Macaca mulatta: one gene and its partners. The main gene of each other region encodes a partner of the protein of the gene in region 3 in a complex. Links are inferred from orthologs where the notes say so. Each region holds a gene or a part of one and is shown on either strand. Other genes may lie near its edges.

What was found.
Region 1: NOD2 (region 3) and MAPK14 share a complex: the UniProt entries of both Homo sapiens proteins name them as parts of the signaling complex. The link is inferred for Macaca mulatta from reciprocal best matches to the Homo sapiens genes NOD2 and MAPK14.
Region 2: NOD2 (region 3) and PKN1 share a complex: the UniProt entries of both Homo sapiens proteins name them as parts of the signaling complex. The link is inferred for Macaca mulatta from reciprocal best matches to the Homo sapiens genes NOD2 and PKN1.
Region 4: NOD2 (region 3) and MAP2K3 share a complex: the UniProt entries of both Homo sapiens proteins name them as parts of the signaling complex. The link is inferred for Macaca mulatta from reciprocal best matches to the Homo sapiens genes NOD2 and MAP2K3.
Region 5: NOD2 (region 3) and AKAP13 share a complex: the UniProt entries of both Homo sapiens proteins name them as parts of the signaling complex. The link is inferred for Macaca mulatta from reciprocal best matches to the Homo sapiens genes NOD2 and AKAP13.

What each region holds. Positions count from the first base shown.
Region 1 is NC_133409.1:146,179,762-146,185,350, forward strand, and holds part of MAPK14 (mitogen-activated protein kinase 14), read right to left. Parts: intron 4,168-5,589; coding exon 4,056-4,167; intron 3,358-4,055; coding exon 3,328-3,357; intron 2,996-3,327; coding exon 2,948-2,995; intron 1,180-2,947; coding exon 1,065-1,179; intron 486-1,064; coding exon 414-485; intron 1-413. UniProt on the Homo sapiens protein: Serine/threonine kinase which acts as an essential component of the MAP kinase signal transduction pathway.
Region 2 is NC_133424.1:15,065,730-15,071,318, reverse strand, and holds part of PKN1 (serine/threonine-protein kinase N1), read right to left. Parts: intron 2,417-5,589; coding exon 2,307-2,416; intron 2,213-2,306; coding exon 2,069-2,212; intron 1-2,068. UniProt on the Homo sapiens protein: PKC-related serine/threonine-protein kinase involved in various processes such as regulation of the intermediate filaments of the actin cytoskeleton, cell migration, tumor cell invasion and transcription regulation.
Region 3 is NC_133425.1:46,147,637-46,153,747, reverse strand, and holds the start of NOD2 (nucleotide-binding oligomerization domain-containing protein 2), read right to left. Parts: upstream 3,550-6,111; 5' UTR 3,264-3,549; coding exon 3,179-3,263; intron 2,652-3,178; exon of another isoform or gene 2,518-2,651; intron 1,015-2,517; coding exon 548-1,014; intron 1-547. UniProt on the Homo sapiens protein: Pattern recognition receptor (PRR) that detects bacterial peptidoglycan fragments and other danger signals and plays an important role in gastrointestinal immunity.
Region 4 is NC_133421.1:22,179,049-22,185,230, reverse strand, and holds the start of MAP2K3 (dual specificity mitogen-activated protein kinase kinase 3), read right to left. Parts: upstream 4,035-6,182; 5' UTR 3,914-4,034; coding exon 3,865-3,913; intron 1-3,864. UniProt on the Homo sapiens protein: Dual specificity kinase. Is activated by cytokines and environmental stress in vivo. Catalyzes the concomitant phosphorylation of a threonine and a tyrosine residue in the MAP kinase p38.
Region 5 is NC_133412.1:75,523,048-75,528,636, reverse strand, and holds part of AKAP13 (A-kinase anchor protein 13), read right to left. Parts: intron 4,944-5,589; coding exon 4,867-4,943; intron 4,294-4,866; coding exon 4,112-4,293; intron 3,979-4,111; coding exon 3,896-3,978; intron 930-3,895; coding exon 735-929; intron 1-734. UniProt on the Homo sapiens protein: Scaffold protein that plays an important role in assembling signaling complexes downstream of several types of G protein-coupled receptors.

The DNA of each region.
Region 1 (5,589 bases), on a different chromosome or scaffold from region 3:
ATACACAAAACAAACATACTAGCAAGATGTCCTTCATTTAGAAACAGGTATCTTGTGCTCATTAAGTGTTTATACAAGCAGACTAAACCCGTCATTGGGATCTGGAGTTTCTCATGAGTATGCTCAGGTCTCAGAACTGCTGTGGGATGATTAATAAGGGATTGCTGCAAAAAGAAGACAGATTTGATGGGTTTTTCAACTTATGAGGAATTTTTCCAACTCATAAAAGTAAACTGAAGCCTCTTTCTTGGCAAGGCAAGCTACTCAGTAAGAAGAAAAACTTCATAATGCATTATCTAGACTATAAAAGCAAAAAACTGAGAGCCTTCCCTAGAGATAAGTAAAAGGAGTATACATCCATGGACACTGGAATACAGATAAGAAACAAGAATCCAAAACTTTTTAAAGGATACGGTCTGTGCCAGGAAACAATGTTCTTCCAGTCAACAGCTCGGCCATTATGCATCCCACTGACCAAATATCAACTGGCAAAATTAAAGAGAAATAAAAGTACATGCAATGTCACTGTTACTATTCTTGGCAACAATGGCAACAAATGAAACCGTAACTAGGGGTGAAATATTCAAATTACTATTTAAGACATCTGAGGCTCAACAATCATAGTCATTTTTACAGAAATAAATAGCTTACTAAGATCACCTGACTAAAGGGCTATTCAAAGGTGTGGTAAGTCAAAACATACTTAAGAGAAATAAGCTGTTTAAAAAGGGGTAAGTTTCGTATTAGCAGAATGGTAGATTCTTCTAAGTAACATTGAGGGGTTAAAATTATGGATTCATTGTCTTTAGGTATAAGTACTCAGAGAATATATTAAAATCTAAATAAATAAAAACCCAATTGCTAAATCACAAGATTTAAAGGCTGTGTATAAAACCCCACTTCCCCATCTGAGGAAGTGAAATATTTTTACTTGTAGGCTTTAAAAGGATCACTGAGGGAAGAAAAGATATTTCTTCCCACTCCCACCATCTCTACTTCTGAGAATCCCAAATGCATCCAACATGGAATTAAATAAGGCCCTAAATAACCAAGGCAAGTAATACCTGTCTGGTTGTAATGCATCCAGTTCAGCATGATCTCAGGAGCCCTGTACCACCTAGTGGCCACGTAGCCTGTCATTTCATCATCTGTGTGCCGAGCCAGTCCAAAATCCAGAATCTAAAGGGCAGAAGAGGAACAGACAAACTGCTAAGACTGAGAGACAGGGGAAACAAACAAACAAACAAACAAACAAACAAACTTCTGCCACCTTATTAAAAAGGAGAACAAAATAGCACTTTCATAAAGAGATTTCCTGGTCCATGCTTAGAATGTATGGGAAATATACAGCAAGAACTTAAACTGAAATTACAAAAAGCAAAACAAAAACCTAGGTATTTAATCAAGTGCAATGAGAACTTATGTCCACACAAAGGTTTGCACATAAATGTTTACAGTTGCTTTACATAGCCTCAAACTCAAGCAAATGTCCATCAGCAGGTGGACAGATTTAAAAATTCTGATATGTTCATAAAACAAAATACTATTACCAATAAAAAGGAAGAAACCACTGACACACACAATACTGAATCATTACACAAAGCAAAGGTCAGACACACAAAAATACACACTATATGATTCCATTTACATGAAACTCCAGAAAAGATAAACCTAATCTATAGTGTTAGAAGCAGATGCATAGTTGCGTGGAGTCAGAATTAGGGGTGGAGGGATAGGGATTGACTAGACTAGGAAGGGACACAATAAACTTTTTCTTTTTCTTTTCTTTTTTTTTTTTTTTGAGACAGGAGTCTCACTCTGTCACCCAGGCTGGGGTGCAGTGGCGCAATTTCGGCTCACTGCAAGCTCTGCCTTCCTGGGTCTATGCCATTCTCCTGCCTCAGCCTCCTGAGTAGCTGTGACTCCAGGTGCCTGCCACCACGCCAAGCTAAATTTTTATATTTTTAGCGGAGATGAGGTTTCACCGTGTTGGCCAAGATGGTCTCTATCTCCTGACCTCATGATCCACCCACCTCGGCCTCCCAAAGTGCTGGGATTACATGCATGAACCACTGCGCCTGGCCATAAACTTTTGAAAGTAATCCAAATGTTCTTCGCTGGGAGCAGTGGCTCACACCTGTAATCCCAGCACTCTCAGAGGCCGAGGCAGGTGGATCACGAGGTCAGGAGATCGACACCATCCTAGCCAACATGGTGAAATACCATCTCCACTAAAAATACAAAAATTAGCCAGGCGTGATGGCATGCACCTGTAATCCCAACTACTCAGGAGGCTGAGGTAGGAGAATTGCTTGAACCCGGGAGGCAGAGGGTGCAGTGAGCCAAGATCTCACCACTGCACTCTAGACCGCAACAGAGCGAGACTGCATCTCAAAAAAAAAAAAAAGAAAAAAAAAAGAAATGTTCTTTATCATAAATGTGATAGTTAAGTGGATACATAATTTTGCCAAAATGAAAATGGTGCGTTCTAATGTATGGAAATTTTTTTTTTTTTAAGTTAAAAAAAATGAAATGGAACAAAATAAGTTCTAGAGCTGCTTGCTCTTTAGAAAAAATTAATTCACTTATCTTTTATTTGAATTATTTTGAGTGAGTGGGTTTCTGTCATTTCTCCTCTTAGAAATGTATTTAATGTAGTTATCACCTCTTTAGGACCACTTACTTGATATTTGACTATTATCTTCCTTTATTATGAATATATTAAATTTATAATTTAACTTTATGTTAAAATAAAAACAAGTGATGCCACTTTCAATGTCACTTAGCTTACTCAGAAATGGTTTACATTTCAAAGTCTGGTAATAAAAATAATATGAATTTCGGATAGTCACGGCTCATAAATCTACTCCCTATGAAAGTTTGCCTGCTTAGTCAAACATACAATCTCAAAGTAAAGCAAACAATGAATACTGTCTCTTCATTTTACCTTCAGCTCACAGTCTTCATTCACAGCTAGATTACTAGGTTTTAGGTCCTAGGAAGCAAATACAGGGAAGACAGGATCAACTTCATGATGCATGATCAATTTTCCCCCTACAGGTAATAATGAGGATCCAGACATAAAAGACTTCATCCAGCTATCAAAACATAATCTCCATCCTACAGTCAATGTCTAGTCCAAGTTAGCTTTACATAGAACAAAACTACACAACTTCTTTCTTTAATCAGCCTAAACCTAGAGTAAAGTTGCAATCAATCAACATTTCAATGGCTAAAGTAAGTTTAGATTAGGATCTTGGCTAAATCCCATTCTTCCACTCTCACCCCACTTCCCCAAAATAATGTAATCAAAGTCATAATACATACCCTGTGAATTATGTCGGCTGAATGTATATACTGCAAAAAAGAAAAAAAGTCAGTTACCTCCAACCTTCTATTGTCACATTATATAACATATTTGCTGCACATTTTCATGAATCAGTAAGAACTGCTAGTGTTAACAGTAAGATTAGAAATCAGCGTAAGTAACTATCAGTATTGTGTACATTTACCATAACTATAATTTCCACAGCCATTGACTCCACTCAGTTGAGCTTTTTATCTATTTTCTGGTTGGTACTCTAGAGCTCAATAAGGACTCAAAGCAGCTAAATATCAAAGATGGTTTAATTTTAAAACACTGTTTACCTGCCCCTCCAACAAATAAATTAGTCTTTCTTGAGGATTTTTTGAAAATCTCAACATTACACTGACCAGATATTAGATCACATCAATAAATTATTGTTTAGATGTAAGAATGAAGAGTCCTTATCTTTCAGATGTGCATACTGAAGTATCTATGGGTGGTATTATATAATGTCTAGACTTGCTTTAAAATAATCCAGGGCTTGGGAAATACAAAAGAAACATGATTGGCCATATGTCGGTAACTGTTGTCACTGAGTGAACATGGCAGTTTATTGTACTATGACCTTTACTTGTGATTTTATGTGTTTGAATTTTCCGTAAGAAAAGTTGTTTACTTGTTTAAGCCCTAAAAGGAGGGGAGAAAGGCAGAATTATTTTTTTAAAATTATTACTTATATTATCTGTACCTTTAGACCTCGGAGAATTTGGTAGATAAGGAACTGAACATGGTCATCTGTAAGCTTCTGACATTTCACAATGTTGTTCAGATCTGCCCCCATGAGATGGGTCACCAGATACCTAGAAATTAGTGAAAAGTTACATAACAATCTAGAACCCCTAAGAAAACTCTTATCTTCACAAGACTTTTATAAGTTTTCTGTTTTTTTTGTTTTTGTTTTTGTTTTTGTTTTGAGACGGAGTCTCACTCTGTTGCTAGACTGGAGTGCAATGGCGCAATCTCGGCTCACTGCACTCCACCTCCATCCCAGGTTCAAGCGATTCTCCTGCCTCAGCCTCCCGAGTAGCTGGAACTCCAGGTGCCCACCAACACACCCAGCTAATTTTTGTATTTTTAGTGGAGACAAGGTTTCACCGTGTTGGCCAAGATGGTCTCGATCTCCTGACCTCATAATTCTCCCACCTCAGCCTCCCAAAGTGCTGGGATTACAGGCATGAGCCACTGCACCCGGCCCGACTTTTCTAAGTTTTTAAGGGAAGGCCACCCTTCCCTTAAAATGGTAGCTGTACCACGATGACAGCTAAAAGTTAATAACTACTCGTTTTTTGAGGGGAGGGGCACCTCATTACCTCATTTTCAACATTGCTATTCTTTTACTTTTCTTTTTTTAGAGACAGGGTCATGCTCTGTCATGCAGTGGAGCAATCATAGTAACTCACTGCAACCTCAAATTCCTGGGCTCAAGCGATCCTCCTACTTCAGCCTCCCGAGTAGCTAGGACTAAAGGTGTGCACCACCACGCACAGCTAATTTTTAAAAATTTTTCTGTAGAGATGGGGTCTCACTATGTTGCTCAGGCTGGGCTCTAACTCTTGGTCTCAGGTGATCCTCCCAATTCAGCCTCCCAACATTACTGTTCTAACGTTAACTACCTGCCATCTATTCTAAACATTTACATACTTATTCCTACTTGACATAACCTTTTTCAGGTTATTTCAAGAGAAAAGAAAACAGGCCAAGCTTTGTGGCTCACACCTGTAATCTTAACACTCTGGGAGGCTGAGGCAGGAGTTTGAGATCAGCCTGGGCAACATAGGGAAACCCCATCTCTACAAAAAATAAAATAATAATAATAATAATAATAATAAAAGCAAAAGTAGGGATTAGAAAGATACATGTGTCAGTATCAGTTTTCTTAAAAATATTATTCTTGCATGACAAAATATACAGTATAACTTAGTGCATGGCTATAATTAAGTATCTTGTAGTTTTAAATCCACCAGTACATTTTCACCTTATTATAAGCCTTCCACGTTGTAGGTTCTAAAATAGGAGTATTTTTTGATTTTCTTTTTTTTTTTTTTTTTCTTTTTGAGACGGAGTCTCACTCTGTCGCCCAGGCTGGAGTGCAGTGGCCGGATCTCAGCTCACTGCAAGCTCCGCCTCCCGGGTTTACGCCATTCTCCTGCCTCAGCCTCTCGAGTAGCTGGGACTACAGTAGGCGCCCACCCCCTCGCCCGGCTAGTTTTTTTTTTTGTATT
Region 2 (5,589 bases), on a different chromosome or scaffold from region 3:
CAGCGGAAGATTAAGAGTTTTTTAGGATAATTTGGCTAAATGAGGGGTCAGGTCACTTTCCTTCTCTGTGCCCTAGTTTCCTCCTCTGTCAAATTTGAGTAATAACAGTCCCTCTTTTGCTAGTTGGTTGTGAGAATTAAAAAGTTCACGTCGCCAAAGCACTCGCTACAGAGTCTGGCTTATGCTAGGCGAACTCAGCTAGAAATGTCATTCGGACCAGGGGTTCCCAGCCATGGAGCACTAAACAATGTCTGGAGACCTCTGGGCTGCCAAACCTTAGGGGGAGCCGGTGCTACTGCCATCCTGTAAGCAGTGGGCAGAGGTGCTGCTAAACATTCTCCAGTGCACAGGACAGCCCCACCACAGAGGATGATGTGGCCCCAGATGTCAACAATGCCAAGGGGAGGCCACCCCAATTCAGACCTTCACCCTCACACGGCTGTGGAAGGAATCGCTTTCTCTTGACTGTGGCTGGTAACAATCACCACGATATGTTGCCAGGTTTTGTATCACTTTTCCGGCTGGATGAAATTTTATAATTTATTTCCTTTTTTCTTTAAACATTTCTAAATTTGGAAATCAGCTTCTTCTTCTTCTTCTTTTTTTTTTTTTTAAATATCTTGCCTCAGAACAAAACCAATCCCAGCTAAGGTTATATCACTGATGTGGCTAATTAGAAGTTCTTTTCTTCTTCTTCTTCTTTTTTTTTTTTTTTTTTTTTTGAGACAAAGTCTCACTCTTGTTGCTCAGGCTGGGGTGCAATGGCATGATCTCAGCTCACTGCAACCTCTGTCTCCTGGGTTCAAGCAATTCTCCTGCCTCAGCCTCCCGAGTAGCTGGGATTACAGGTGCCCACTACCATGCCCAGCTAATTTTTGTATTTGTAATAGAGATGGGGTTTCACCATGTTGACCAGGCTAGCCTGGAACTCCTGGCCTCAAGTGATCCACCTGCCTTGGCCTCCCAAAGTGCTGGGATTACAGGTGTGAGCCACCGCACCCGGCCAAGGTGTGCTTTTCTATCAAGGTTCAGAGACAGATCTAAAATGTATCTTCCCCTTCTAGAATACACTGATCTAAAACATACCTGCCACTTCTAAAAGAGCCTGATCTAAAACTATCTTTCCGTACTAAGAGAAACCAGATCTAAAACATATCTTATGCTTCTAAAAGAGCCTGATCTAAAATGTACCTTCCCCTTCTAGAACAGACAGATCTTTTATTTTATTTTATTTTTTTGAGATGGAGTCTCACTCTGTTGCCCAGGCTGGAGTGCAGTGGTGGGATTTCAGCTCACTGCAGCCTCTGCCTCCTGGGTTCAAGCGATTCTCCTGTCTCAGCCTCCCGAGTAGCCGGGACTAAAGGCATGCGCCACCACACCCAGCTAATTTTGTATTTTTAGTTGAGACATGGTTTCACCATGTTGGCCAGGCTGGTCTCCCTGACCTCAGGTGATCCACCTGCCTCAGCCTTCCAAAGCGCTGGGATTACAGGCATGAGCCACTACGCCCAGCCTAAAACAGGCAGATCTAAAGCCTATCTTCCCTTTCTAGAAGAGCCTGATCAAAAACATACCTTTCCCTCTACAAGATATCTATTTAAAATGTATCTTCCCCTTCTAGAAGAGGTAGATCTAAAACATATCTCCCCCTTTTAGAAAAGCCTGACCTAAAACATGCCTTCCCCTTCCAGAAATGGCAAATCTAAAACGTATCTTCCCTTTCTAGAAGAGTATGATCTAAAGCCTATCTTCCCTTTCTAGAAAAGCCTGATCTAAAACATCTTTCCCTTCTAGAAAAAAGCAGATCTAAAACATCTCTTCCCCTTCTAGAAGAGGCTGACCTAAAACATATCTTCTCCTTCTAGAAAAGGCAGAGTTAACACATATCCTCTGTTTCTAGAAGAGCTGGATCTAAAATGTGTTTTCCTCTTCTAGAAGAGCCTGACCTAAATCGTATCTTCCCCTTCTGGAAGAGCCAGACCTAAAACAGATTTTCCCCTTCTAGGAAACTGGGAATGGGGGAGTGAGGGAGAAGCAGCATTTTCTCAGGATCAGGGGTGGGCTGTACCTCGGCCACCAGGCAGCCCTGGGGTTCCATGTCCAGCTGCACCTCATGCCTCTCATTGTCCAAGAAATCCTCCAACTTCAGGAATTTGAGGGCACACAGGCCCCGCTGGTCCCGCCAGAACACAGCCAACTCCAGTTCCCGTGCCTGCAGGGAGAGGAAGAGGGCCATCACTCAGGGTGCCAGAGGCATGGAACGCCGCCTCCTCCTCCGGGCCCTGTTGTCCTCCAACGCAGCTCACCCTCTCCAGCTCCAGAGTGAAGCTCTGGTCCCAGGCACTGGGGCCACATGGCTTCCAAGACGTCTGCCCCACCACTGTGTTGTCCAGCTTAAGCACAGTGCTGACTTCACCTGAAATGGGGGAGAGGGCCCAGTCAGAAAATGCTGGCAGCGGCCAGGCAAGGTGGCTCATGCCTGTAATCCCGGCACTTTAGGAAGTCGAGGCAGGCAGATCAGTTGAGGCCAGGAGTTCAAGACCAGCCTGGCCATCATGGCAAAACCCCATCTCTACTGAAAATACAAAAAATTAGCTGGGCGTGGTGGCGCACGCCCGTAATGCCAGCTACTCAGGAGGCTGAGGCAGGATAATCACTTGAACCCAGGAGGCAGAGGTTGTAGTGAGCCGAGATCATGCTACTGCACTCCAGCCTGGGTGACAGAGCGAGACGAAAGAGAGAGAAAGAGAGAAAGAAAACAGAAAGGAAAAATGGCCTTGCACAGTGGCTTGTGCCTGTAATCTCAACACTTTGGGAGGCTGAGGCAGGTGGATCACCTGAGGTCAGAAGTTTGAGATCAGCCTGACCAACATGGTGAAACCCCGTGTCTGCTAAAAATACAAAATTACCCAGGTGTGGTGGCGCATGCCTGTAATCCCAGTTACTCGGGAGGCTGAGGCAGGAGAATCACTTGAATCCAGGAGGCGGAGGTTGCAGTGAGCCGAGATCACGCCACTGCACTCCAACCTGGGCGACAAGAGTAAAGTTCTACCTCAAAAAAAAAAAAAAAGAAAGAAAGGAAAAAAGAAAGAAAATGCTGGCAGAAAGGGGCAGGTCTATTATCTTTTTCTTTCTTCTTTTTTTTTTTTTTTTTGGTAGAGATGAGTCTTGTTATGTTGACTAGGCTGGTCTCAAACTCTTGGCCTCAAGTGATATTCTCCTGCCTCAGCCTCCCAAGTATCTGGGATTACAGGCATGAGCCACCAGGCCTGGCTGTCTGCTATCTTTTTAAAATAAATCCTCCTCTCCATTACTTTTCTCCAACTGTGAAGTTTTGCATTTGACATTGAAGCCTTTTTTTTTTTTTTTTTTTTTGAGACGGAGTCTCGCTCTGTAGCCCAGGCTAGAGTGCAGTGGCATGATCTCGGCTCACTGCAAGCTCCGCCTCCCGCGTTCACGCCATTCTCCTGCCTCAGTCTCCTGAGTAGCTGGGACTACAGGCGCCCACCACCTCGCCCGGCTAATTTTTTGTATTTTTAGTAGAGACGGGGTTTCACTGTGGTTTCGATCTCCTGACCTTGTGATCCGCCCGCCTCGGCCTCCCAAAGTGCTGGGATTACAGGCGTGAGCCACTGCGCCCGGCCGACATTGAAGCCTTTAATCCAGTTGATTTTTTTTTTACCATGGTGTGAGGTGAGGCAGGGATCCAAATTCAGTTTTATTCTACATGGAAGTCCCAGCAACATACTCCTAAGAATTTATTTATTCATTTATTTTTTGAGCCAGAGTCTCTCTCTGTCACCCAGGCAGGAGTGCAGTGGCACAATCTCGGCTCACTGCAACTTCCACCTCCTGGGTTCAAGCAATTCTCGTGCCTCAGCCTCTAAAGTAGCTCAGACTACGGGCACACACTACCATGCCCAGCTAATTTTTGTGTTTTTAGTAGAGATGGGGTTTTGCCATGTTGGCCAGGCTGGTCTTGAACTCCCAAACTCAAGTGATCACTGGCCTTGGCCTCCCACAGTGCTGGGATTACAGGCGTGAGCCACCGTGCCCAGGCCTTCCTAAGAATTTACCCTAGCAAAATGCATGCATGTATACATCAGTAGATACATTTATAGAAAGTATATATAACAGTCCAAAATAGAGGCATCCCACAGTCCATTAACAGGAGAATTAATATTTTAAAACTGCGATACACTCTTAGTAGCTGAAGTACAAAATTGCTGATATTTAACTATTTTTTTTTTTTTTGGTTTCAGAAAAAGGCAATTCGATATGGCTCAGTCTAACATAATGGATTATTAAGCAGGAATAAATATGAATTAACTATAGCTTCTCACAACAAAATGGATGAGTCTCCCAAAACAATGCTTTTTTTGTTTGTTTGTTTGGTTTTGTTTTTTTGCATTTTTTTATAGGATGGGGTTTCATCATGTTGCCCAGGCTGGGCTCAAATTCCTTGGCTCAAGCAATCCCTCCACCTTGGCCTCCCAAAGTGCTGGGATTACAAGCTTGAGCCACTATGCCTAGCCCCGAAACAATGTTGAATGAAAAAAGCCATGTGATAGAATACAGTCTGTATGAGCCTATCAATATAAAGTTCTAATACCAGGCAAAATTAAAGTTTTTGGAGATGCAAACATGGAATTGTACAACTATGAATTATAGCAAGGAAATGATAAAAGTCGGGACAGTAGTCACCTCTATGGCAGAGGAAGGAGCTGGAATTGGGAAGGAGACAGGAGGGGGCTTCTGGAGAGCTGGAAATATTCTATTTCTTTTCCTTTTTTTTTTTTTTTTTTTTTTTGAGAGGGAGTCTCGCGCTGTCGCCCAGGCTGGAGTGCAGTGGCCGGATCTCGGCTCATTGCAAGCTCCGCCTCCCGGGTTTGCGCCATTCTCCTGCCTCCGCCTCCGAAGTCGCTGGGACTACAGGCGCCCGCCACCTCGCCCGGCTATTTTTTTGTATTTTTTAGTAGAGACGGGGTTTCACTGTGTTAGCCAAGATGGTCTCGATCTCCTGACCTCGTGATCCGCCCGTCTCGGCCTCCCAAAGTGCTGGGATTACAGGCTTGAGCCACTGCGCCCGGCCTTTTTTTTTTTTTTTTTTTTTTTACGATGGGGTCTCGCTCAGTTGCCCAGGCTGGAATGCAGTGGTGCAATCACAGCTCACTGTAGCCTTGACCTCCTGCATTCAAGTGATCCTCCCACTTCAGCCTCCCAAGTAGCTGGGACCGCAGGCATAAGCCACCATGCCCACGTCTGGTTAATTTTTGGTTGGTCTGTCTTCGCTTTTTTTCCCTTTAGTTTTCTTTTTTTCTGTGACACAGACTCAGGAGGGCCTGATGACATGTGCCCCATTTTTTTTATTATTTGTAAAGACAAGGTCTTGCTGTGTTGCCCAGGCTGGTCTTGAACTCCTGGGTTCAAGTGATCCTCCTGCAAATCCCAAAGTGCTGCGATTCCAAGCAGGAGCTGTGGCCCCTGGCTGCCATATTCTATTTGCTAACGCAGGTGGTGGTAACATGGGTGTCTGCTCTCCCGTTACTCTTCTCTACACTCCCTTTTTTTTTTTTTTTTTGGTACACA
Region 3 (6,111 bases):
AATTCAAGGCTACAGTGAGCTATGATTGTGCCACTGCATTCTAGCCTGGGTAACAGAGTGAGACTTCAAAAAGGAAAAGAAGGGAAGGGAAGGAAGAGGAGAGGAGGGGAGGAGAGGGGAGAGGAGGGGAGGAGAGGGGAGGGGAGGGGAGGGGAGGGGAGGGGAGGAGAGGGGAGGGGAGGGGAGGGGAGGGGAGGGGAGGAGAGGGAAGGGGAGGGGAGGGGAGGGGAGGAGAGGGAAGGGGAGGGGAGGAGAGGGGAAGGGAGGGGAGGGGAGGGGAGGGGAGGAGAGGGGAGGGGAGGGGAGGAGAGGGGAAGGGAGGAGAGGGGAGGGGAGGAGAGGGGAGGGGAGGGAAAAAGAAAGAAGGAAAGAAAGTTGTATGTTGCCTGCCAAGAGTCAAGAGCAAATTTTACCTGCCTGGCTACCTTTTTAGGGGAAATCCCACAGACCAAGTTACCCCACAGGCTGACTTCATGAGGACAAATCAGTCTTGGTGACTAAGCACCCCTTTCCTGGGAACTCTGTGATGTATGCAGGAGTGCCTCACCCTCTGGGACGGTGTGAAGATTGGCAGCCTGATTTCGTCACATTCGTACTGGCTGACGAAACCCCGCTCTCGTGCCAGGTCCAGCACGCCCTCCACATGGCTGTGGAGCCTCCTGACAATGGCTGGCCGGTGACTCTGCAGGTCTTGGGCTGGGTGGAGCGAGTGGGGGTCCCAGCAGCCATGCAGCTTGGGGGATTGGCTGTCGGCCTGGGCTTCCTGGGCAGCAGCGACAAGTTTCTGACAGGCCCAAGTACCCTTATTCCAGACGGTGTCCAGGAGGCGCCTGGCCAAGTGGGAGAGAGGCTGGCCCAGGAGGTGGATGCCCTCGTAGTCTTCCCAGGAGAGGACCTCCCAGGACAGCAGCCAGTCCAGGACACTCTCGAAGCCCTCCAGGGACCCTGAGACCAGCAGCTCCACCAGCTGACTCCTCTGTGCCTGAAAAGCCTCCTGCGAGCACATTTCACAACCTGGGGAGGAGAACAAGGTCAGTGCAGGACTTCTCCAGAAGCCAGACGCGGGGTGGCTGGGGAAGGCCAGGGCAAGTCAGCCCCAGCAGAACCCGAGTTGGCCATGGTTCTAGCCTCAGACATTACCCAATCCAAGCTCCCCACCATACAGATGTGAAAATTGAGACCCAGAGAAGGCAAGAAACACCTCAAGGTCCCACAGAGAGTTTGAAGCAACCAAGAATTAAATCAAGACCCCTAACTCCCACATCCATGCTTGGTCTCCGGCTTAAAACATTTAAAAAGGCTTGAGGTAATATGAGGAGCAAGAGATCTCCCAAGGTCACTTGAGATCAGGAGTTCCAGACCAGCCTGGCCAACACGGTAAAACCCTTTCTCTACTAAAAATACAAAAATTAGCCAGGCGTGGTGTGGGCACCTGTAATCCCAGCTACTCAGGAGGCTGAGGTAGGAGAATCACTTGAACCCGGGAGGCAGAGGTTGCAGGCTGCACTCCAGCCTGGGCAACAGAGCAAGACCCTGTCTCAAAAAAATAATAATAAAAATGTAAAAAGTAGAGAGAGAGAAAGAGAGATCTTCCGAGCAGTCAGGGAATTCATTCTCTTCAAAGCAGGGTGAGAGGGGCTCCACACTGGCCGGATTCACGCTACAGCAGTTTCAGTAATGGCTAATATTAATTAAGCATAAACAACACACCAGGCGCCATTCTAAGTGCTCTCCTGCGTGAATTCACTGAACCCTCCCAGCCACTCTGAAGTAGTGCCTATGATCTGCCCATTTTACAGAGGAAGACACTGAGGCACCGAGAGGCTCAGCGATTTGTACGACATGTCACAGCTAGACAGGCAGAGTCAGGATTTCAACACAAGCCGTGTGCAACTCCAGAATGCATGTCTCTAACTCTTACATTTGGGTTCCCCACGGGGGCCCCAAGCCCTTGCTGTGTGTTTTGCACACTGCTACTCCAAGGGGTACACTCAGAGTATTGTTCTAAAGGTCCTATCCTAGGCTAAGTGAAAAATTACGGTGCAAACTAAGTTGTTTCCAAGCGTTCTCGTGCCTTGTCCCCCATCAACACTTCCCCCACACACTTGCCCTAGGGCCCTCACCTCCCTCCCACGCCCTCGAAACCACCGTGCACAGACTGCTGCTGCTGCTACCGTTAGCCACCTGCTGTGGGTTCTGGGAATTTGAGGGCAAGTAACCCTCCAGGAGCTTCAAGCCCTGGGAGGATCTCTGAGCAGCTGAGAAAATCTCTCAGCATGGTTAGTTCTGCGATTGTCGTGGGGTCTGTGGACAAGGGCTGGTGCAGTGCCTCGAAGAAACGAAAGTGAAAGGGTGTAGGCATGGACAACAAAGAGAGCCGTCGGCTTCTTTTTATAAATCAGGGACATTCCCAGCCACTCGAGGGAGTAGACGCCAAGCGGCCTGGGGATTTTGCCTCTTTGCTGATGGTTGTTTATGTGTCTCTCTCCCTGCCTGGGTCACGTGGAAGCCTGGGTCTTACTCGTCCTAGCATCCCTGAGCCTGGCACGGCACTGTCCCCCGCAGAGACACCGTGGAAATGTTCATGAATCAAATATCCCCTGGGCTGGGGGTGGGAGGAACACTGTAACCATCCTCATACGGCAGCCAAGGTAAGCAAAAGGAAAAACCTCCAATCTCTCAGAACGCTGCTGGGGCACAGGAGGCCCTGTGCTGGTCAGATGGGGAAACGGAGGCAATGAGGTTATGTGTGTGTCTGGCTGCTTGGGAGAGAGAGTGTCCCCCCCCTGCACAGGCCACTGGAATCCAGGAACTAAGGTAGTTCTCTCAGGCCAAGGAGGTCTCCTCCCCGTGCTCACCTCTAAGCAGAGGAGCCAAGAGGGTGGGGTGGCGGGGGACGGGGGAAGAGAGGACCAAAAGGGGGTAGAATAAGCTCTGGGCTTGGCCCTGGAGTGGTTCTCAGCTGTGGAAACATCAGCCAAGGACGCGACAGCAGCCCCCACCATCACCCCTGCCAGGGTCCTGGGGAAAATAACCACCCACCCACTCTCCCCAGAAAACAGCCCAGAGCCACAGTCAGCACTCCCCATCTCACCCCAGGCCTGGGAGCATGCGCGCAGCCAGGGATGAAAGAAGGCTGAGAGTCAAGCTGAGACAGGACAATGCCTGCTCCTCTTACCCAGAAAATGTCCAAGGAGGACACTTGCTCTTTCCTCCTCATCGGGAGAGACTGGACCACCCCCTCTTCCCCCATCAAAGCCCATTAGGCTTGGGGAGCAGGCATGGCATCTGTGGGTGGGCCTTGTGCAAAACACCAAAAGCCCAGCGGCACAGGACTGGTGAGCCTGGATCTGTCTACCAACCCCACCTTCAAGGGAAATTCCCAAAGGAAAAGCCAGAGGCCAGAGTTGGCCAACCAGCCTTCCAGAACTAGGTAATTCCAGGCAATTCTAGCACAAAGCCTTGTGCATCCTGGAGACCATGACCCTCCCTGAAAAACCCCACTGGGGACATGAGACACATTCACGAGGGGACAGGCCACAAGTAAGTAGGGGCCCCTCCCTAGCACACCAAGCCTAGGGCAGCCTGGCCTACGTGTGAGCCATACACACCCCGGCTAGTGACGTCGGGCTTCTGTGGGCACCAGGAAGGGGAGGGCCGCCCAAGTCACGTGACTCGGAGCTCTGTCCTCCCAGCAGCTGCATCACCGCACCTCTGCCCTGGCCTTCTTCCAGAAACCTCAGAGCAAAGAGAATCCTGAGGGCCAATTCAGCCAGTCCCCTGTCTCTGAGCAGGCATTGTCCTGTCTCATATTAAACATCCGGAGAGGAGGGCCTGGCCTTAGTGCTGTCCTCACTAACCAGCTCAGGAAGCTCACCAGCTTGGGAATTTATTCATTATGTCTAGCTAGCTTCAGTTTCTCCTGCTTCAGTTTAACTTGGGAAAGAGACAGAAAAAATATTCACTCATTATCTGTTTCCTAAAAATTGTCCTTCACATCCTTCCTCTTACCCCTTTATTACCTGATCGGGCTTCCCCTCTTCAGGCAAAATCTATTAGTCTATCTGCATTGCCTTTTGATCTCTACTTCAGTTACTACAACTTCAAAGACACCATTGTCCTCCCCAAGGTGAGGCCCATGTAGAGAAAGGAGCACTTCCTTGCTGAAAGAGAGGGTCAAGGAGCGACCCACAAGGGCCCTCCCTGAAACCCAGGCCCAGGTCTGAGCCTGGACAGCTCCTTCCTTCCTGAGACCACAGCCAACCTGGTTTCTCTGGGGCCAAGAGCAAATGCTTTGCTTAAGTGCTGAAATCTCAGCCCACTGACCCCTTGCAGACAGGAGAGGAAGGGAAGCCCAGGGAAGCGCAACTTCCCAAGTATCCCGGGTCTCTGCTGGGGCCAAGCGCCCCCACCCTCCCCCAGCCATCCTGCATTCTCCCTCCCCGGCACTGAACTTCTCTTCCTAAGAGACCAATTCCCCCCACCAGTGCACAATGCACTATATTCTCCATTGTAAAGGTAAAGCCCTCTCTTGACACCCACCTTCTTCATTTGGCTCCAATCCCATTTATCTGCTCCCCTTTATAGCAGACCCCCTTGTCTATTGCCTGTACTGCTGTCCCCAAGTCCTCCCATCCCCTCCCTCACCCTCAAGTTCCCCATCCAGCTCCAGTGAAACTGTCACCAGTGACCTCCCGTTGCTCAATCCTCAGCCCTCAGCCTGCTTGCTCTGCCAGGGGCATTGGTCATATTTGTTCCCTCCTTCCTCTTTGGGGCATTTTCCTCATTTCCTCCAGGGCACCCCAACTCTCTGATTTTCACTCTTTCTGTCTTCTTGGCTGGTTCCTAACACTGGGGGCCTCAGCACCCCTTCTCTTCTCCATATCACTCCCTCCCTAGATGAGACCACCTGCTCTTGTGGCTTTAAATACCAGCTATATGGTGATAATGCCCAAAGTTTTATTTCCAACTCCAACCTCCGCCCTTAACTTTTCCCAACTGCTTACTCATCATTGATGCCTAATGGACAGCTCAGACTCCACAAGCACAAAACCAAACTCTCAATCTCCCCTAAGCAACTCCCATTTCAGTTCATGGCAGCTTCAAACCTCCAGAAGCTCGAGCCAAAACCTCAGAATCATATTTGACTCTACCTTTCTCTTACACCCCAAATCCTATCGACACAGCCTTTGAAATATATCTCAAATCTGAATGTCTTGTTTTTTAAATTATTATTTTAACTACCTCTGGGCCATGGTGCAAGCCACCATGGTCTCTCCCCAGAATGACAGCAATGATCCTCTCACCAGGCTCTCCTTCTGCCCTTACCTCACTCCCCACGACCCATTCTCCACCCCACAGCGAGGTGGGCCTGCCAGACCCCAAGTCAGAGCAGGGGACTCCTCTGTTCCAAACCAGTGCTCCCATCATGCTCAGAGTGAAAACCAAAGCCTCCCAGCCCCCCAGATACTCACGTGGCTCACCCCTCAACTCCTTATGACTTTGCCCAGCTCTCCTGGTCTTGGGGAAGCCTTCCCTGGCTGTGCTATATACAATGCAATACCCAGCCCCAGCACCCCATCCTGCTTCCCAGTTTTGTTTTACTCATAGCACTTCCCACCACCTGCCATGCCGTGTATTTACTTATTTCATTGCTGTCCATTCCTTTCTAGAATGTGCACTCCATGAGGGCAGGGAGTTTTGTCTGGTTTTCCTATTGCTCTGTCTTGTGTCTCATCCAGTGCATGAATGATGATCGCCGGAATGAATGAAAGAATGGACGTGCTCTGCGTGGCTCCGGGAGACAGAGGTGGAACCAAGGTGTAGAATCTGCAAGCCATAGATTTTAGCTAAAGAAAACAAGAGCTGCAAGACACTGAAAAGCCACCTCACCAGTAGCAAGCTCCCCACCACTGGGCATGTGTCACAGAGGGGTTCTGCGATGGGTAGGAGGGAGGTGGGCTGGATGAGGATGCTTCCAGCCTCAGATCCCAGGGTGCAGAGAGGTAAAGGAGCCTTGAGTGGCCAACAAACTCAGGGGCCCCAGCAGCCTCATGGCTGAGTGATCGGGTCAGGCAAGTACAGGTGGTGGGGATGTCACTCTGGTCTTCT
Region 4 (6,182 bases), on a different chromosome or scaffold from region 3:
CAGGCTTCCTGCCTGGCAGAAGCGTGCCTCGGCTGGGTTCTCTGTGGGCAGAGGGCAGTCTCACTATGACTCGTGCCTGACACTTAGCAAGTGTGGAATGGAACTGTCTACATCCAGACAGGCAGGGTCCCCGTTCCCAGTCTGCAGATGATGAAATGGAGGCTTCTCCTCTGAGAGCTGGGCCATGCCCAGGGGACAGAAATCTTTTACGGAGTGCAGAGAGTGGACCGGATGCAACTTGTGCCACGTCACATCGCAAAAGGGACAGAGCTGGGGTATGAACCCAGGCAGTCAGGCTCTGGAAACTGAGGTCTCAGCCTCTCCACATCACCATCTTCCAGGAGCTCAGGTCGGGTCCCACCCCAGCCGACCCTGCACAACCTCTGCTCCTCGCCCTCCCTGAGTCCCAGATGCACAGCTGAACCTGAGGTGTCCCCTGGACCAAGGGTAGTAAACAGTCACCGCCACCTGCTCCTGCTCTGTGAGCAAGAGGAAGCAGAGCCCCTTGCCTAACAGAGGAAGTTCCTGGGTGGGGCACAGAGGGCCTGCCCAGGGGTTCCCAGCCTAGTCCGAGGCGCAGGAAGGGGCCACCTCCAGTGCTCCAGCTCAGGGCTAGGTGCCACCTGCAGGACACGTAACCCCCTCCCCACCCACCAGGCCAGCAGGCATCGCCCCTTTAAGCTGTAGGCAGCCGGCTGGCATGCCCAGCAGGTGAGTCAGCACTCAGTGCCCGCTGACTCACCGCCGGAAGCCTCCGCTGCCCCGGCCTTCTCCTCACACAGGCCAACTGAGAACTTTGCTCCCTTTGGGCCCTGGGCCATGGGTTGGCTGACAGAGAGTTTCCTGTGCGTCACAAGAGGGGTGGGGGAAGTCCCCGAGGTGCCACCTCCAGTCTTTCCGACAGCCGGGGGATGGGGGATGGCCACAATAGGCAGGGCTAGGATACGACAGTGCTCCATGAAACCTCAGTGACCCCACTGGGCAGTCAGGAGTCCTACAGCCACAGTCCAAGCTGTGTGAAGATTAGCCATGAAGTGCCCCCACAGGTGGCACTCTTAGGGCAGAAGGGGCAGAACCCACGTTCTGAATGACAACAGGACACACATGGTACCCTCCAAGGACAAATGTGGCTTGCACACATGCCCCCACCCACTGGCCCCAGCGCCGGCCACTTGGCCTCTGATCCCAGCCAGAGATGGCCATGTGGGCAAGAAGGCCAGGGGAAAACCAACAGAGCTGTGGGCCTGAGGGCCTCACACGCTCACGGAAAACTCCCCAGGCCCATGGCAGGAAGGATAGGGCAGGGTACCTGCTGCAAGGCAGGAAGCTCAAAGGTAAAGCTCCAGTAAGGTCAAGCGCCAGCCACTCCCTGCTTTGTTCAAATTCCTTTGAGAAGGTGGAGAAGGGCTCAGTGCTGGGAGGCCCAGTGCCCAGGATGGGGCAGGCACGGGGTGAGGATCTCCACCTGTGGGAGCAGTCCGGCTACTCCATCCAAGCTCAGTTCTGCATCTGTCAAATGAGTGGGATTTTGCAGCAAGTATGCAACAGGCCCAGTGTAAAGCACTGTGCACAAGAGCAGCAGCACCTCTGCCTCAGTCTGTCCTCTAGGTCTGACATGGCCATGAGGACAGGCCCACTGCACATGCTCTGAGCAAGGCCAGGGGTGGGGGCACCCCACCAGCTCAGCTCAGGCATCCAGCATGGGAGGGGCACATAAGGGAGCACGGGGAAGGCCACTGTGGGGATGCAGTCCTAGGGGGAACCCTAGCTCCGCCTGTCACAGCTGCGTGGCCTCAGGCAAGGCACTTAACGCCTCAGTTTCCTTATCTATAAATGAGGCTATGAGGAATAAATGAGAAAATGCATGGCACATGGAAAAAAAGAAGAAGCTCATAGGGTTTTTGGTGAAGGGCATTGCGGCTCTGTCACCACATCCTTCCCCAGATCCCAAAGAGACTACAGGGTCGCTGGGCCTGAGGGAGGTCCCTGACCCTCCATCCAGCTCCCTCAATTTCATCTGCGACCTGGGTCCCTATCTAGAAGTTCATCTTGGCCCTCTCACAGCGTTCTTACCACATCTATGACCCCTCTCCCTTCACAACTCTGCAACTGGAACTTTTATTTTGATCAGGCATTCTCTGCCTGGAGAGCTAAAAAGCCTCCAAAACAAACAGGGCTTCCTACCCTTCCCCAGGCTCTCCAGAGTGGAGAAGTGTCTGATTTCCTGGTTCCCAAGCTCCACGAGGTCTGGGCAGTGCAAGTCCCTCCCCAGACACCTCCCCCCTCAAGTGCCTCCTGAGTTACTCACAGTGGTTGGGCAATGGTCAGGGATCCGGCCTCCCACTTATGTAAGGCATAATTATCCTGCCCACCCGGCTCCAGCCACCACAGCAGCCAGCAGCAGGGGCCAGGAAGAGCCCGTGCCCTCCCCAAGCCCCCACAGGGCTCCCACTGGCCTGCGCCCTCCAGAGCAGAAGAGCGGCTGATCCCCGATGAGGGGCCCACTAGGTGCCCGCTGCTAGATGCTTCCTCCTGCTCACTCTGCGGCTGCAGTTCCAGCAGTGGAGGCCTTTCCAGCAAGAAGAATGGAAACAATAGCGAGATGTGTGCAGCCAGTGTCCCCTGGTGAGCGCCGGCTCTCCGCCAGGCGCTATGCTGAGTGAACACCTCAGAGCTCTTTTGTATTCACCACCCCACGCCACACTCCCGCGTCCACAGAAGCAGGTGTGATTACTTCCAATTTACAGAAAAGGAAACTGAGGCCCAGAGACACCAGGGAGCTTGCTGGGGTGAAGCAGCTGCAGGTTCAGCTAGGCAGGAGGCAGCCCATTCATTACGGCTACGTCCGGTTTGGAAATCTCTCACACAACCCAGCCTACTGAAACTCCGACGCACCAAAAACATCCTTTCCTCTTCCTGAAAAAAAAATTCCCCTTTTGCCCTCCGAGTCTCATCCTTCCCCCTCCGCATGACAAATCCTGCTGCTGCTGCCACCTCACAAAAATTTCCAGGAAGGCCAGCTACTTGGAGAAGAGCAAATCCCTTGCACAGCCAGCACCCTGGCCTGGCGGTTGGCCCAGATCCCAGGCAGCCAGGAGAGGAATAAGATGGGGTGAGAACCCCAAGTGCAGGGAGAAGCTTGCAACTCAAGACAGAGAGAAGCCAGTAGAGAGGGGGCTGTACCTTAGGGAGGGGTGGGAGGACAAGGGAGGTTCCTGGGAGCACAGGGCTGCAGGACAGGGTGCAGGCCAGCCAGGGAAGGGGCAACATAGGGCCTATAAGGATAAGAAGAGCTGGAGGAGAGAAGGACGGGGAGTTCCGAGCTGGGGTGTAGCCAGAGCACCCGCATAGCGGGTACAGTGAGGTCCGAAACAACAGAAGCACTCTGGGGCCCAGATGGAGACTTAAGTTAAATCCCAGCCTGGATACAGCCCTGGGACCCCAAGTTGGAAATGGGAGTGGGTGCTGCCCAAGGACGCAGATGGAGGCCAGTGTGAATCTCACCTGGGTCCCTCTGAGGGAGAAGACTGAGAGAGTTCCTGTCCAGGCTACAGCCATAAGGCCCAAATGAGGTCAGAGTGAGGCTCCTGACTTGGATGGGGTGAGCAGAACAAAGTCCTAGTCTGGGTCCAGCCTGGGTGATCTCGGGCCTGAATGCAGTCCCAAGGCCTAACCTGGGGGTCCAGGTGAGGACCCAGGCTGCGGCCGGTCCCGGGGCCCCGAACAGGAAGGGGTTCCGGGACCGGACGCCGCTGCCAGGTCGAGAACAGGATGGGGTGGGACCAAAGAAATTCGGTCGGGGTTTGCAGCCCGGCCCCAGATTGGGCGCGGGGTCAGGCCGAGGTTCCGGCCGGGATCGCCTACCTTTGGACTGGGGCATGCTGGCGGGCTGGCTTGAGGCGGGCGACTCCATGCTGCAAGCGGGTCCTGGACGGCGGTGGGGACTAATCTAGAGGACTGCGGGCTCCACCGGGGCCGAGCACGCTCATGGCTGCGGGCAGACGGCCCGGGCCAGGCGGAGGAGCAGAGGCGGCGGCGGCGACTACTGCAAGGACGAGTCCGCGACGGGCGGCGCCGGAGCCAGACTGGGCAGCGCCGGGGGGACCCCGGCCGAACGGCGCTGACTCAGGCCCCGCCCCTGCGTGTCCGATTGGCCCTTTCGTTTCCAAGGCCCGTCCCCTGCCTATCAGACGCCGGTCTGTCCCTGCCTGTCAATTACACGCCCCACCCTCCGTGGGCCCAGGATCCGGGCCCCTCCCGCTCTCTGTCAAGTCTGCCAGCCGCCCGAAAAACCCAAGTCCGGTCAGGCTCCGCCCACCTGGACTAAAGCCGCGCCCCTCGCGCTGCCCGTCAACACGCAAGCCCCACCCACTCCCGGGACCCACTGAGCCCGCTGCTCCTTGCAAGCGCCAGGCTCCGCCCAGCACCCCCAGACGCGCAGCCCCGGCGGGTGCGATGAGTGGGCGCGTTCTCCCGGGTGCGTCGTCTGGAAAAAACCCGAGATCCCTAAAGGTGGCACGGCTGGGCCTGGCGAGGCGGGCGGGGGTTAAAAGTGCGCTGCTGGGCTGCCTCCTGGCTCTCTGAACCTGCAGCTGCCTCACCCCAGCAAGCTCCCTGGTGTCTCTGGGCTTCAGTTTCCTTTTCTGTAAATTTGACCCGGGTTCAGATCCGAGTCGGCAACTTTGTAGCGGAACTAGCCTTGGTCAGGTCGTGACACCTGAGCCTCAGTCTACGCATCTGTGAGCGGGCGGCGGTGACAGCCGTCTGACGGCGCTGCTCGCTGACACGCACTGAGGGCCCGGCGCCAGCAAACGTCCGCCCGCGCCCGCGCTCCAGGCGCCCGGCCAGGGCGCGGGGTTGGTGGTGAGCTCAGCGATGCCCGGTGACGAGGCAACACGAGGAGTTGTCGTGGCTGGTTGTTGCTGCCCCTGTTCTACACCGGGGGAAACTGTCTCAGAGGGAGTGAGGCAGCATGCGGTGCATTTTATCCCACGAGCCCGGAGGCCCCATCCTGGCTCTCTCCTGGACCTTGGTTCTCTCCTCTCCTCCTAAGATCTCAGTCTGCCCATCTGTATAATGGCTGGATGGACCAGTCCTCTCTTTGCTCCCACACGGAACCTTGGGGGATTTCAGGAACCGCTGACCAATCTGGCGCTGGGATCAGATGACTCTGGATGTAAAGTCAGTGCTAGTGAAGGCAGAAGGTACCAGGCAAAGGTCAAGGGGTCAGCCCCTGGCCTCCAGGCAGACATGAGTGTGTACCCTGTCAGGGACCTCACGTGAGGGAAGCAGATTCCACCACCTGCTAGAAACGCTTGAGGCCGGGCCTGACCTCTGCTTGCCCAGGTGTAAAGTGGGGGTGATGCAGGGCCCCATGCACACAGAGTGGGGAGGGCCACATGAGATAGGAGGGAAGCCTTGCAGCCATCACCATTCTCTTCCTGCGTCTCCTGTTCACAGGCAGTGGGATGGAAAATCATGAGTCTGGGGCTCAGACAGGTGTGAGTTCCAATACCAATTCCTCCACTTACTAGCTGGATGTCCTTAAAGAAGTCACTGAGCAGCTCTGTGCCTCAGTTTACCTATCCCATGGGGACAAGAAGGTCTCTGAAAGCATTTCATGAGTTCAGGAGTGGGAACACCTGGCCTAGGGCCTGGCCCTCACTAAGTGCCCGGGAAATGTGAGTTCAAAAACACTGTTGGCTGCCTCCATCCTGGCCGTATCATCCCTGGTGACCTGCGCTTATCCATCCATAAAATGGGCATCCAGTAGCAGTTTCCTTTCTACCAGAACTGAAAGGCTGGTCCAGCAAGTTTTCTGGATTCAGGCACCGGCCAACAGCCTTGACTTCTGCTCCCCGACACTCTGCCTTGTGCACTCTGCTCCTTGGGATGTTCAAGAGTCTTAGTGTTGCCCCTCAAATGTGCCAGTGATGGTCCTGCTGCAGGAGCTTCACCCTTGCTGCTTCCACCCAGAACATTCCTCCACTCAAGCCTCCTGGGGCTGGTTCCCTCTCATCCCTCAGACTGCCTCCTAAATGAACACGCCTAAGAAGCCTTCCCATCAGTTTGGGGACCTTCCCTTCCCAGGTCCCCAAACTGAGGCACAACACTCATGCTGCTGATGCCTTTGTCACTGACTCAGTTTTTAACACAGCTCTCCCTCCAGACCATCTGCGCCT
Region 5 (5,589 bases), on a different chromosome or scaffold from region 3:
CCAGCCTGGGTGACAGAGCGAGACTCCGTCTCAAAAAAAAAAAAAAAAAAAAAAAGCAAACTAAACTATAATGTTTAGGAGTAGGCACTTAAGTCATAAAGATATATAAGTAAGTGATTAACGGCCGGGCGTGGTGGCTCATGCCTATACTATCAGTTCTTTGAGAGGCCAAGGTGGGTGGATCACTTGAGGTCAAGAGTTTGAGACCAGCTTGGCCAACATGGTGAAACCCTGTCTCTATGAAAAATATAAAAATTAGCTGGGTGTGGTGGTGCACACCTGTAGTCCCAGCTACTTGGAAGGCTGAGGCAGGAGAATCACTTGAACCCAGGATGGGGAGGCTGCAGTGAGCTGAGATTGCACCACTGCACTCCAGCCTGGGAAACAGAGCAGCAAGATCCTGCCAAAAAAAAAAAAAAAAAAAAAAGGCATAAATGATTAATTTAAAAAAAGGCCAGAATAACTGCTCCTTTTGGAGGGAGGGAGGTATGATGGGGACAGGGCACGTGGACGAAGGCACTTCAGGGTGTCTGGCCACATTTAATTTCTTGATGTGGGTAGTGGTTAAAAGGATATTCACCTGATTATTTACTATAGTGAAGTATTTGTTTTGGGTAATTTTCTGCATTTGTGCGGCTTTATTTTAACGTAAAAAAGTAAAAACTGGCAGATAATATTAGAGTGTAAACCACTCTGGGAGGAGATGAAGGGAGGCAATGTTGAATGTTAATTACCCTCATTTATTGCACTTTTCATTAAAGGTCCTCCTTTGAGAGCGTCTTCTGTGTTGGAGCGGAAGAGAACTCTAGGGCTATGTGTCGGGGAGCAATCCTCTGGGAGGGGGGTGCTGCACTCAGCCATGTCCCGGAAAATCATCTCCTTCTCTTCCAACAAGAGTAGGATTTGTTGGTCCTTCTGTTGAAGTTGTTCTGCAGGATGGAGAAAATGATCTGTGATTTGATTGGCGTTTAGTATTACGAGATGACTAAGACATGAGCACCACCTTGTGGTAATTTATGGAAAGGGACAAGACAGGACACCCCACCCACTGCCCTTTCTTTTTCATCATGACAGCAATATTGTTTCTGTTCTGTGATTTCTATCTGGAAAACCATTCTGGATCTTTCTGGCGAGGAAATTGTGACATAACAAGTTTGCACTTTGCTTCCACTCCCTTGTCCCCTGTTTACTTCTCAGCCCACTACTCTCTAGCTTCTGTCCACTCTGCAACTGGTTTCCCAGCTCAACTTCACGATTGAATCCAATGAGGTCTTTTAGGTTGTTTTTTTCAGCATTGATGATTACTTCCTCCTTTAAAACATGTTTCCTTCTTTAACTTAGGACACTGGTTCTCTTCCTACCATTCTTTCTCAGGACACTTTACTGATCTGCCATCTGCAATGGAATCTCTTATCTGGGCTCCTGGCTTCTGTCTCAGCTCCATCCTGAGAGCTGTCTTCTTCTTTTTTTTTTTTTGAGACAGAGTTTCGCTCTTGTTGCCCAGATTGGAGTGCAATGGCACACTCTCGGCTCACTGCAACCTCCACCTCCTGGGTTCAAGCAATTAAGCGATTCTCCTGCCTCAGCCTCCTGAGGAGCTGAGATTACAGGCATGTGCCATCACCCCTGGCTAATTCTGTATTTTTAGTAGAGATGGGGTTTCACCATGTTGGCCAGGCTGGTCTCAAACTCCCAACCTCAGGTGATCTGCCTGCCTTGGCCTCCCAAAGTGCTGTGATTACAGGTGTGAGCCACTGCACCTGGTCTGAGCTGTCTTCTTTACCTTACCCACTTTCCTCTTGAGGATCTCATTCATCCCCATGGCTTCAATTACCTTCTATATGCTGATAATTCATTAAAAAAAAAAAATCAAAAGTCCTCCCTTTCTTAGCAGCAGACCATGGGGCCCAAGTGGCCACCTCTACTGAGATGCTTTGTTCTCAGCATGTGAGAAACCAATCTTTTCTCTAGCCCATCACCTCCTCCCTTTAGTGTGGAATCTCTTTCTCAGTCAACAACTCTTCATCTTCCAGGTCACCTGATTTGGAAACCTGTGAGAAATTCTTTCTCCTCACTCTGTCCCACCACCAACTGACCAGACTTTTTTTTTTTGAGAGTCTCACTCAGTCACCCAGGGTGGAGTGCAGTGGCACTATCTCAGCTCACTGAAACCTCTGCCACCCGGGTTCAAGCGATTCTCCTGCCTCAGCCTCCCAAAGTAGCTGGGATTACAGGCACACACCACCACGTCCGGCTAATTTTTGTATTTTTAGCAGAGATGGGGTTTCGCCACGTTGGTCAGGCTGGTCTCCAACTCCTGACCCTTGTGATCTGCCCACTGCGGCCTCCCAAAGTGCTGGGATTACAGGCGTGAGCCACCAAGCCTGGCCAACTGACCAGATTTTAATGACCTTATTTCCTACTCACATCTGTTCCCTCTCCAGCTCATTTTCACTTAACCTATCCTAACAGTCTTCCAAATGGTCTTTCTACTCCCAGTCGCTTCCCATTCCCTCAAGCAACTCTCCTAACTAGCTTCAACATGTTTAAAAAAAAAATCTTTTTTTTTCCTTTTTTTAAAAAATTACATCAGTCCCTTGTTGCCTTTTTAATACCTGGTGCTTTTCCAGCTTAAGCTCCCATCCCTTAGCCCTGACCCTCCAAACACACCAAACCTGTCATTCCTTGGCAGACATGTCAAGTCCTTTTTCACCTTTGCACATAACTACTCTTGTGTGCTGAGATAATTTTTTTCAGATGTAACTCATGCACCAGCTTCTCTGTGAGACTTACTAGACGCAGGATGAGCAGATCCCACATATGTTAATCGTGCCTGTGGTCTAATAAATCACTGTGTGGCCCATCGTTGAGGTATGTCTCCCCTGCTAGGGTGTGAGCTGCTCAAGGGAAAGGGCTCTTTTTAAGGAATCTTTGCATCTGTTGTACCTAGCAGTATGCCTAGCCAGGTACTTAACAAAATTTAAAGAAGGAAGATTTTTATCCTTGTCATCCTAATCATGGGCCAATAAATCTGCTGTAACTCTGGCTCTGGTCTAAATCTGTCCATATTTTTAATTTTCCCCTCAGTGAGACTCAATGCTTTCATTTGTATGGCTTTAAGACCTAACCAAACTCCTTAGATGCTTACATTTATTTAACTCTAAGCCTTATTTTGACCCAAAGCATAGTCTTTACTTAGAAACATTCGATAAGCCACTGGCAAAGAGAAAAGAGCACCAGGCTTTGCTAAGACAGGGAACAGAATTCTGGCTTAACCATTAACTACACGTGTAACCCTGCGTAGCTTGTCCTTTGTGGGCCTCGACTGTCTCATCTGCACAACGGGGATTAGAATGCCTGTGTTGTAGGGACACTGACAAGACTACACAAAACAGTCAGCACTCAATAAACAGGGGTCAAACATAGATCGATACATACCCTTCTCCCAAAACTTCACCTCGCAACTCATTTGTGAACTGCAGATAAGTGATAACGCTAGGGACTGGTGGGAGGATTAAATCAGATTAACTGGAGAATTCTTTTCCCCAAATTCTCTCCTTGTTTTAATTTTAGATGTGACTACAAATTTTGGCAAATTCATCTGTGACAAAGTACAGAGAATGTCATGAGGTTTGAGAACACTGATCCTGAGTTAAGAGAATCAATATTCTCTTGATCCAGTATTGGACACATCCTTACAGTCATTCTTTACCAGGACCCATGTCAGCCTGGACTTGGTTTCTCTTTTGTTAACAGCTATTCGTTTCACTGCCTTCAAGTGCCTTCTGGGGCAGCTTTAGAACTGAGGGCAAACCCATCCTCTAAAATCCACCAGCAGTCTTCTGCAACTGCAGACATTCCAGACAAGGGGCTCGGACCACTCCCAATGCCTCACCTTTTAATTCTCGGGCTTTGGTGTCCAACATTTTCTTTTCTTCCTCATTCTCACTAGGAATTCCTTCATCTTCATCTCTGTTCCTAATACAACCCAAACAAGACAGAACAAAAAGTTCCTAAGATGTCGATTACTCTGGTCACAGTACAGCCTATTATGGAAACACACAGAGACATCAGGAGGGCTGGGAAGGGTGGGGCCTGGTGGTTAACTTACAGGGTGTTGATTGTGTCCTGAATGATCTGAATCCAGCTGTTTCGTTCCTCTTTGGAGCTGGCATGGACTTCTACCATCTCTGGATCTTTCATCCCCATGCTGATCAGGAATAAACCTCTCTCCTCGTGTGCCACTTCTCTCACAATCAGTTTCTTTAAAGAGATCACTGTTGACTTCTGGTCCTGGAAAAAGGGAAGAGGGCAAATAAAAGATACATATACAATATTCTAACTCTTAAGGACAGCTTAAATCTAAGGTAAGACTAGATGCTGTTAAAAAAGCACACAGTTTGAAAAACAATGGCTGCTTTAGGATAAAGAGAAATATCTCATTTCATTCAGATTTTAACAAAGATTTTTCAAAAGGGAAATAGTAATTTATGGCTCTAAAGGTTCCAGTCATGTTTTCTACATGATGAATCTTTCCAGGTTCCCCAAAGAATCCAGTCAGCAATATTATACATGAGCATCATTTATGGGCTCACATGTGAGAAATACTCCAGTGACAGGTTTCTTCATAGGTCAAATAGTCAGATGTCCAAGACACTAAAAGAAGACTGTGATGAAACAGAATAATAATTTTTGGGGAAGAGGGGATGCCAGAAAATTGTGAGGGCGTGTGGGAAATTACTCAGAGGAATTTGTCCTGAGCCATTTAATTTTAAGAGGGCTGGGGAGAGCAATAATATAGTGCTTACATTCCATAACTAACCTAGATGCTTATAATGCTATTACAAAAATAACAATTCAGCTTACCAATGAGGCAAAGATGTACTTCTGGTCTTTTTCTTGAAGGAAAACTAAAATGTCAGTGAGAAGAACTGCTTGAACCTCTGGAAAATGGAAATGGGAGAAGGGAAGATAGAACAATGACTACTTAATAGTTACCACAGTCAGAAGGGTTTTTATTGAAGGTGCAGTACATATACCCCCATAAGGGCAAACTATGATCTGAGATCACACTCCTCCAAAGCAACAGTTTTACAGTTCTCCAGGATTCACATCTGGTCACCAGATTTTTAGCAGCATTTTAAAATGGGATTTATCACCAAAGCCTTGTTTTGGAAAAGTTTAAGTACTCAGTCCTAGAAAGATATATCCCATAAGACAAGAGTTTAAGAATAAAATACTTTTAAGAATAAAGCTGAAAAGCTGGACTTGTACAGATGTTAAACAGCAACACAGAGCAGGATACTCCAAAAAATACTCAGGTTGCAATATTTTTTGACTTCTGATTACAGTAATGGGAAAGGTGTGGGGCAGGAGACAGCAATGCTGCCCAAATATGAAGTATAGAAATATCTAAGTCTAATGAAAAGATGTCTGTCTTCCACACCCTCAAAAGAACAAAGAGTGGCCACACAGGCACCTTCTAGTCTTACAGGTACATGTGAATATAGGGCTCTTTCCTCAGGTCCATATGCAATAGTCAACTTAAACTCTTGCTCTGACTAATCCTCTAGGAGTAGGTAGTAACAT